2 linked regions of the Rattus norvegicus genome follow. Each later gene encodes a partner of the first gene's protein in a complex. Links are inferred from orthologs where the notes say so. Each region holds a gene or a part of one and is shown in the gene's direction. Other genes may lie near its edges. The genes, in order: Uxt and Asdurf.

Evidence for each region.
Region 2: Uxt (region 1) and Asdurf share a complex: the UniProt entries of both Homo sapiens proteins name them as parts of the PAQosome complex. The link is inferred for Rattus norvegicus from reciprocal best matches to the Homo sapiens genes UXT and ASDURF.

What each region holds. Positions count from the first base shown.
Region 1 is NC_086039.1:3,678,460-3,682,938, forward strand, and holds the start of Uxt (protein UXT), read left to right. Parts: upstream 1-1,444; 5' UTR 1,445-1,450; coding exon 1,451-1,548; exon of another isoform or gene 1,549-1,593; intron 1,594-3,190; coding exon 3,191-3,272; intron 3,273-3,409; coding exon 3,410-3,477; intron 3,478-3,746; coding exon 3,747-3,854; intron 3,855-4,479. UniProt on the Homo sapiens protein: Involved in gene transcription regulation. Acts in concert with the corepressor URI1 to regulate androgen receptor AR-mediated transcription. Together with URI1, associates with chromatin to the NKX3-1 promoter region.
Region 2 is NC_086027.1:55,617,357-55,621,793, forward strand, and holds the start of Asdurf (ASNSD1 upstream open reading frame protein), read left to right. Parts: upstream 1-1,442; 5' UTR 1,443-1,499; coding exon 1,500-1,589; intron 1,590-3,177; coding exon 3,178-3,231; intron 3,232-4,437.

The sequences.
Region 1 (4,479 bases):
TACAAGTTAATAGACTTAACACAGACTCAACGCTAGTCCATCCAAACTGTTCTCCTTAATAAAGATTAACTAATATTTTATAGCTCCCTAATACCTGTTTTAAGCACACCAAATTGAATTTTAAATATATGTAGCACGAAATTTTGGTTTTGGTTTTGGTTTGGGGGACAAGGTATCAAGCAGAAATTCATTTAAGATGATTTTCTTAAAATTTGTCTCTGTTTAAACATTTTTATGTGCCCTTTGGAGGGTGAAAACCAAACTATGTGTGTAATACACACACACACACACACAGAGAGAGAGAGAGAGAGAGAGAGAGAGAGAGAGAGAGAGAGAGAGAGAGAGAGCGCGAGCCACAAGATATCCTGCCTTCCTTATAGATTAGTACCATAATACTTGCTGGTCTATAGGCACTCTTGTGCTTTTTAAATTATTAAATGCTTAAGTGGTCTCAGTGAGGTTTTTGTTTGTTTGGTTTTGATTTGGTCTTTTGTTTTAAAGAGAATATGAAATTGGAAGGGGAATGTGGTAGGAAGGGTCTAGGACGAGTTGGAGGGAATAGGGAGTGGAGATAATGAAAATATATTGCATACATCTATGAAATTCTCAAAGACTAGAAATGTTTCTAAAAGAAAAAAGTAGGGACTATATGGATACCTCAGTAGTTAAGAGCATTGGCCATTCGATCCCAGCATCCACATGGTGCACACAAACTGCCAGTAGTTCCAATTCCAGGGAATCCCACAACTTCTTCTACCCTTTGTGGGCACTGCACACATGTGGTGCATAAACATGCAAACAAAACACATAAAATAGGAAGGAATTTAAGAGTGGGGAGGGAGGAATACAGAAATGGTTCATCAGTTAAGAACACACAACTCTTGCAGAGAATGTGAACTCCATTATCAGCACCCACATCACGGTAGCTCACAACTGCTCTCACACACACTTCAAAGAAATTATAAACACTTAACTCCCTCTCCCTACCTTCCTGTAAGTCCACCTTTCCTCAGAACCCGCCAAAACTCATTAAACGTCACCCAAACCAGTCTCCCGCCAGCTCGCGACTATTTATTTGCCTGCAGGCCAACAGCGTGACCCTGCTACCTCCAGGGACTCATTCAGGCCCCGCCTGCAGCTCTTCCCTTAAATGCGTCTTCTCGCACGAAGGGCAGCCCCGCCCCATCGATTATGGTTGGCTCTGGTGCTGGAAATGCGTCATCCATCCGCGCCAGCCGGAAGCCGCGGTTCGTTATAACAGTTATTGCTGGTGGCCCCTAGGTGAACGTCGCGGTTGCGTATCGGTGAGTGAACTAGTCCTAAAGTAGGGTTGGGCAGAAGGAACTCCATAGCACGAGTCGAAAGAAGTCGTGCACAATATGAGAACTTTGTGAAGTTAAACTGGAGCGCTCAACGTGGGTCCTCCCCCTTCAATCCCCAGGAGCACATAATGGCGACGCCCCCGAAACGGCGGGCCTTGGATACGGTGGGGGAGAAAGTGCTGCGGTATGAGGCCTTTATCAGTGACGTACTGCAGCGAGACTTGCAGTGAGTGGCAACGCGGGAGGCGTGACGTTTGAGAAATTCGACGTGGTGGGTGGGATTGAATGCGGCCAAACTTTCGGGTTGGCCAACCAGATTTCTGGGAAGAAGGTTGACTTCTGGGCTGAGATTTGGTTGGAACTTATCCCTTTAGCAGAGCTCCGACCATGTTTGTTGGTTTAAAATAGTCATTCCGAACCTAATGTGTTTCTAACTAAGCCATTTAATTAATATTTATGAACAAGTTGTACCTTACTTTGCCTCTCTAGGCTTTATGAACTTCGTTCATCTGTGAAATGGAAAAGTTTATTAGGCCTTTTTAACGTGGTGTTTGAGTTTTAAATGTGTCAACTCCAACACATTCTGCCACAGGAGGGAGAAGCAAGAGGATCTTTGTAAGCTGGAGACCAAACTGGGCTACAGACTGTCTCAAAGGGGGAAAAGTAGAATAAAGCCAGGCTCAGGCTCCATGGTGTGTGCCATCTCTAGTGGAGAGATGGGGAAATTCACGTTTTTAGCCAGGATTACAAGCCAGCCTTGAAATATATAACAATATTTTATTTAAAAAAAAAAAACTAGTGTGGTGACAGAGGCCTGCAATCCCTGTACTTGGGATGGTATCAGAAGCAGGATAATCCAGAGTTCAGGGTAACCTTCACTTACATTTCGAGGTTGTGTATGGCCTGGGCTCTGATATTATGTCTCAAAACAAGCAAATTAGGGCCAGCAAGATGGCTTGCCTCCAACACCATGCCCTAACGTAGATCTCTAGGAGCCACATGATGGAAGGAAAAAGATTCCCAAAAAGCTTCCAGGTGTATCATGGCACCTATACATGCACACAAAATAAACACATGTTTAATGCAGATAAACCCAACTACTATTATATTGAGGCTGAGAGGAGAGGATTGTTTGGTGTGATTACAAATTCAATACCAGCGTGAGAAACTCAGATATTGTCTCTGGAAATAACCTGGATAACTTTTATGAAAAAGGAATTTGCCTCCAGTGCCTGAAATACACTAAAAGCTCAACAACTAGATGATTACTATTGCTGTCATTACTAATCTGAATAAAAAGTTAGGTATTGAGAACTAGGGCTGTGTAATCATGCTAAAAGAAACGGGGAGGTATATTTAGGGTGAAGATGGGACATTTTAATTGGCATAAGTCACTGAGTAAAATGCAATATTTATCATTGTAATAGGTTCTAAGTATATAATGCTTACCATTTGGCTAGCATTTAAAACACTTTGTAGTAGACACTTGATTCTAATGACTCCTATATGCTAATACTACCATCTCTATTTTCTATGTGGGGAAACTTAATCCCAAACAGGTTTCCTACTTTCCATAGTCACATTACTAGCAAGAGGTAGAGGTCAGGATGAAGTACAGTCTCACCTATATTTATTGAAATGCCGGCTGTGTCCTTATCTATGCCCCATCATGAGTGTTTGGGGGAGCAGGCACAGGGTCTCACTATGTTACACAAGCTGGTCTTGAGCTCATAATCCTCCTGCCTCAGCCCATGGATTGCATCCATGAACAACCCCATCTGGCTTAAAATGCCTAGTAGGGCATGATGTGCTGCATCTCAAAAGGAGTAAGACTGCCTAATATTCACTGTTGTATTTCTACGTATCAGAAAGGTACTGGACCATCGAGACAAGGTATATGAGCAGCTGTCTGTATACCTTCAACTAAGAAATGTCATTGAGCGACTCCAGGTAAAGGCTTTTAAATTGGGTGCCACTTTGTGTATATGTACAAAGAAGGGAGGCGGGAAGAGAACCCCCAGAACAAAACCTTTATCTGCCTTAAAAGTTGGCCACTGACACCTACCTCTTTTCTCCTGGCCCTATAGGAAACTAATCACTCGGAGTTATATATGCAGGTGGATTTGGGCTGTAACTTCTTCGTTGACACAATGGTGTGAGTGTATTCTCTCCCCTCTAAATTTCTCCCTTTTTTCATGGAACAAGTATTTCTTAGTATTTTCTGTATACCAGGCTTTAGTAGCTTTTATATTACATTAAGATATAAGCAACATGTTGTGGTCGTGGGAGAAATGAACACAAAATATCTGCCCTTACAGAGCCTTCACTTGGGGAATAGGAAGGAATAGGAAACACCTTAAACTATATACAGTATGCTAAATGGTAATAAAGACTTCTTCCACTTCCTCCGACCTCTTTCCTCAGCCCAGATACTTCACGCATCTATGTGGCCCTGGGATACGGTTTTTTCCTGGAACTGACACTGGCCGAAGCTCTCAAGTTCATTGACCGAAAGAGTTCCCTCCTCACAGAGTGAGTTCATTCCAGGAGGATAGTATCTAAAGGCTAAGGGTGCAGGGAAGTGGTAAGAACATTTGCTTAGCATGTGTGAAGCCCTAGGTTCTATCCGTATCACACACCACACAAACACATACACAAAATATATAAAAGTCAGATACGGCAGTAGTTCATACCTGTAATCCTACGACTCTAGAAGATCAAGCAGGAGGATCCTGATTTTGAAGCCACTCTGGGTGATAAAACAAATCCCTCTATATAAAACAACAGAAAAAAATAATAAATAGACATCATAAATTTCAATACTCTACCCTTTTCCCCGTAGCTACCTGGGATGGTACTTTAAAAAAAAAAAACATACTACCTTCCTCTTCAGGGCTAGAGCTAAAAAAAATGAGGATGCAAAGTTCAGCCACGGAGTCATACTAAACACTTAATAAGTAGTTTTTGTACTATTCCTTCACACATTTATTGAGCATCTTGTGTATGCCAGGTTGTGTTGTTAGTATTGGGAATACAGCAGTAAACAAAACAGAAGATTCTTAGAGGCTTACATTCTAGAACTATGTTGTTATATGTACATATATCTAGGTCCACATCCATGAGATTTTAATCTAAGAATCAGTACCAGTCAAAGAAG
Region 2 (4,437 bases), on another chromosome or scaffold:
ACATGGATGTGGAGAAAGAGGAACACTCCTCCATTGTTGGTGGGTTTGCAAGCTGGTACAGCCACTCTGGAAATCAATCTGGAGGTTCCTCAGAAAATTGGAAGTAGTACTATCTTAGGACCCAGTTATACCACTCCTGGGCATATACCCAAAAGATGCTCTAACGTATAACAAGGACACATGCTCCACTATGTTCACAGTAGCCTTATTTATAATAGCCAGAAGCTGGAAAGAATCAAATAACCCTCAACAGAGGATGGATATAAAATGTGGTATATTTCTACAAAAATAATGACTTCATGAAATCCATAGGCAAATCGATGGAACTAGAAAATATCATCCCTAGTGAGGTAACCCAATCACAAAAAAAAAAACAAAAAACAAAAAAACAAAAAAAAAAAAACCACATGGTATGCACACTCACTGATAGTGGATATTAGCCAAAAATCTCGAATTACCCAAGATCCAATCCACAGACCACATGAAGCTTAAGAAGGACGACCAAACTGTGGATGCTTCAGTTCTTCTTAAAAGGGGGAGTAAAAATATTCATAGGAGGAGATATGGAGACAAAGCTTGGAACAGAGACTGAAGGAATTGCCATTCAGAACCTGCCCTACCTGAGGTTCCAGCCCATAAACATACAATATTTCTGATGCCCAGAAGTGCATGCTGACAGGAGCCTGATACAGCTGTCTCCTGAGAGGCTCAGTCAGAGCATTACAAATACACAGGCAAATGCTAGCAGCAAACCATTGAACTGAGAACGGGGTACCATTGGAGGAGTTAGAGAAAGGATTGAAGGAGGTGAAGGAGCTTGCAACCCCATAAGAACAACAATACCAACCAACCAGAGCTCCAGGGACTAAATCACCATCCAAAGACTATATACATGGACAAACCCATGGCTACAGCTGCATATGTAGCAGAGTATGGCCTTGTTGGGCACTAAGGGGAGGAAAAGTCCTTGGTCTTACCAAGGCTGGATCCTCATTGTTGGGGAATGTCAGGGTGGGGAGGTGGGAAGCGGTTGGTGGTTGGGGACGGGGAACACCTTCATAGAAGAAGGGGAAGTGGGGATGGGATACGGTGTTTATGAATGGGAAACCGGAAAGGGGAATAACATTTGAAATGTAAATAAAAATATCCAATTTAAAAAATTAAAAAAAAAAAGCCAAGACCACAGTGTTAGGCACACTACTGATTAGTGATTTATTTTTACATAGCATCCGCTAGGGGGCAACACAGACCATTCATAGACTCTCCAGCCAAGCCAGACGAACCTTTAGCCAAAACTAATGTGCGCTGATGCACAGCTACTTAAAGTCGGAGTTCCAGGATCTAGTATCCACGCCTGCTACTGAGCAGGCGTAAATATGCGCACTCCATTGGTCGAGGTTCCGGAAGGGGCAGGGTCCTGAAAGGAACACTGGCTTCCGGTTGGGCCTGCCGCCTGCTGTTTCATCCACCGCGGTTCCTCCGTTCGGTGCGGCGTGGCGATGCCTAGCGGTGCGGAGCACCCCGGAGACAGCGCCGCGCCGGGACCCACCCGCACATCGACCGCGCACGCCGAGGCCCTTAGCAGTAAGGTGCCGTGGGACGCCGAGGATGGGCGGTGGGCGGCGGGCGGCGGGAAACGGGTCCCGCGGTCGCATCGGTGCCCAGTAGCCTCACCGGTCCATTCTCAGCACCGGCCGCTGGTTTCCCCTGCGTCCTGCAGATTTGCTATGATGGAGGCACAGATTTATCCACTGCAAACAACAGTGATACTGAGACAGAGGTCTTAATGACGTTTTTCCTTTACGCGTTTGCACCACTCTCCTCTCGGAACCCTTCACACATGTGATCTGTTGCTCGTTGGCTGTGCTTCATCCATTTAGCCATGTACCCGCCTGGACGCCATCCATGACGTCCATCATGAAAGTTTAGAAATCTGCCCGTTCTTCCAGACTCAGGCAAAATTTTCTTAACCGAAGTTATCAGTTGCCTGTTGACCTTAAAATATATTCTCACCTTTAAGTGATCCTAAAAACATCAGTTTGGTCATCTCTTTATTATTCAACCAGGACTGTAGCAGATTAATTTTTTCCCTTCCTCTTTTTGGGATAGGGTTTCATAAGTAGCTCAGGCCAGCCTCAAATATTGTTTGAGGATCACCTTGAATTATTCTCTTGCCTAATAGTCAGGATTTCAGGGAGGCAACCCCATACCTGAACTGTACAGTGATCTCAACTTCCAGTTACAGACAAAAATCTTTAAACGTGTGGATTGGAGGGGGTGTGGGTGCAGCCTTTTCAGTTATTAAACATCCTGAATTCCATATTTTTTTTCTGTCCTGTATGACATCTTCAGTACATTGCCTTATTTCCAGTGTGCCACAGTATTCTGTGGTGTCACCTAAAGTGAGATATATTATATACCTGTCGTTTGTAGTGAGCATAAAAGCGCTGTACAAGCAGCCTTGAATCTCAGGGAGGGTGTACTCAATGTAGCTTTGTCGTATGTTAGTACAGCTCTTAGCACTGCCCATGCACACTCATTTGGGTGGGGATGAGTTTTCAGAATACTCTGGCTACTGCCATAGCAAGCCTCTTGGCACTGTGTAGCTGTGTCAGTGTAGACTTATTGCCTATTTGGGCATTTCATCTGATGATAAGGAACAAACTGAGCTTAAGGATACCAGCAGTATGCTGTCCTTAATACTCAAAATAGAATGATACAAGGGTGGGAGATGATGTTGTACCACTGCAGGAAGGGCGTTCGTTCAGTACCGTTCCGTTCATTTTATCCGAATGTCTGGCTGTCATCCAGTGCATACATCATAAAACCACTGGCTATTGGTAAAGAGGAGAAGCCACATTCATTTCTCTTTTTTAGTCTACAGCCAGGCCTTATAAAATTAAAAGATTGGTATTAATTTGGCTAGACAGTGTCTCACCCTGGTTAAAGATGTGAGCTGTGGTAACTGGCGCCTGGCAAGTCTAAGTCAGCTTCTTTCTCCAGCTGTCTTCTACTGGTTCCAGCCTGAGTGTGGTTGCATCTGTACAGTATCCATTTAGACAGGCAGTCCATGACAGGCCCCAGTCCCATGTTTTGTTTTAAAGCAGTTGCTAAAAATGTGCTCACTAAACATAGTTTGAAAACTTCCACTTTAGGTTTTTTTCTTTACTTTAATAGATTAAAGAACAGAAAGTTATTGTGGATGAACTTTCTAACCTGAAGAAGAATCGGGTAAGTTGCTGTGGGAATCTGAATAGTATATATATATATAATATTAAAATTATGATTTAGATTATTTATGCTAACATTGCAAAATTCAAACATCGTAATTTAAAAACTAAAGTGATATCCTCATTTGGTTTTGCATGTTTTAAATTTGTTCTTCCTGTATAAGTCAGTAGATCTCAAAGATGAAAAAATTATATTTTAACAAAAAAGAATGAAGTTTTCCATAGAAAACTTTAATATTCCAAATACTTAACCCATTTCATGGCTTTTAAATAAATGTGTTAATAAATCAGCTACAATTAACTAATAATCGACATTTCTGATATTGTCATTTGTGAAATATTAGATGCTAGGGCAAATTAATACAGAAATTTTTGGAGATCAAACTGGCAAAATGAGTAAATGCTGTATGACACTTCAGAGTAACCGGTGTGGAAGCAGTTGTGAGGATGAATGCGTGTTTACCTGCAAAGGTACTTGCCAGCATCTGTAGTGAAGAGTTGACAGAACAGTAAATGACTGAGCTTGAAGGCAGTAAAGAACTATACATTGTACCAATGTGGTGATATAAAAGAACCTTCCTTGGTCAGAAAAGATCTCCATGTATTATTCGTTTATGAACTAAATTATAAACCTGTTGCTGTGATAGCCTTTGTTATTTGAAAGACTATGGTGTGATGACACATGTGAAGCAAACAACCGTCTCTGGGTGGCATAGTGATCAGTGACTTTGTTTATCTGTGGTAATCACTCTTCTGAATATTCCTGAAGTTCAAGAGTGGGTGATAAGAGGATCCTGTTCAACATCACTGTGCAAGTCGCATTCTTCTTTTTTATTAGCATGTCATGGGTACTGCGGCCTGAAGCATGGACTTTCAGTGCAAGGACATGATTGTCATGACCCTGGGACACCACTCATGGGTGGCTAGGAATATTGGTGCTGTATGATGGAGTGAATGGACTGTGACATAGTAGGTGCTCTCATAGCACAACACAGGAGAAAGCAGAATACAGACTTCATTGCCAATGATTAAGAACCACTGTCAGTTCTGTAACCAATGCTAAGGGAGCCTTGGGAGCCTTTTCCTCTTGCAATTGAGGCAGAGCTTTCGTTCATTTCTTGAGAGCTTTGACTGCTCAGGACTATAGCCAAGCAGTACCTTATCACAGTGCGTGCTTGCTTGCTGGCTTTCTTCCTTTCTTTTATTG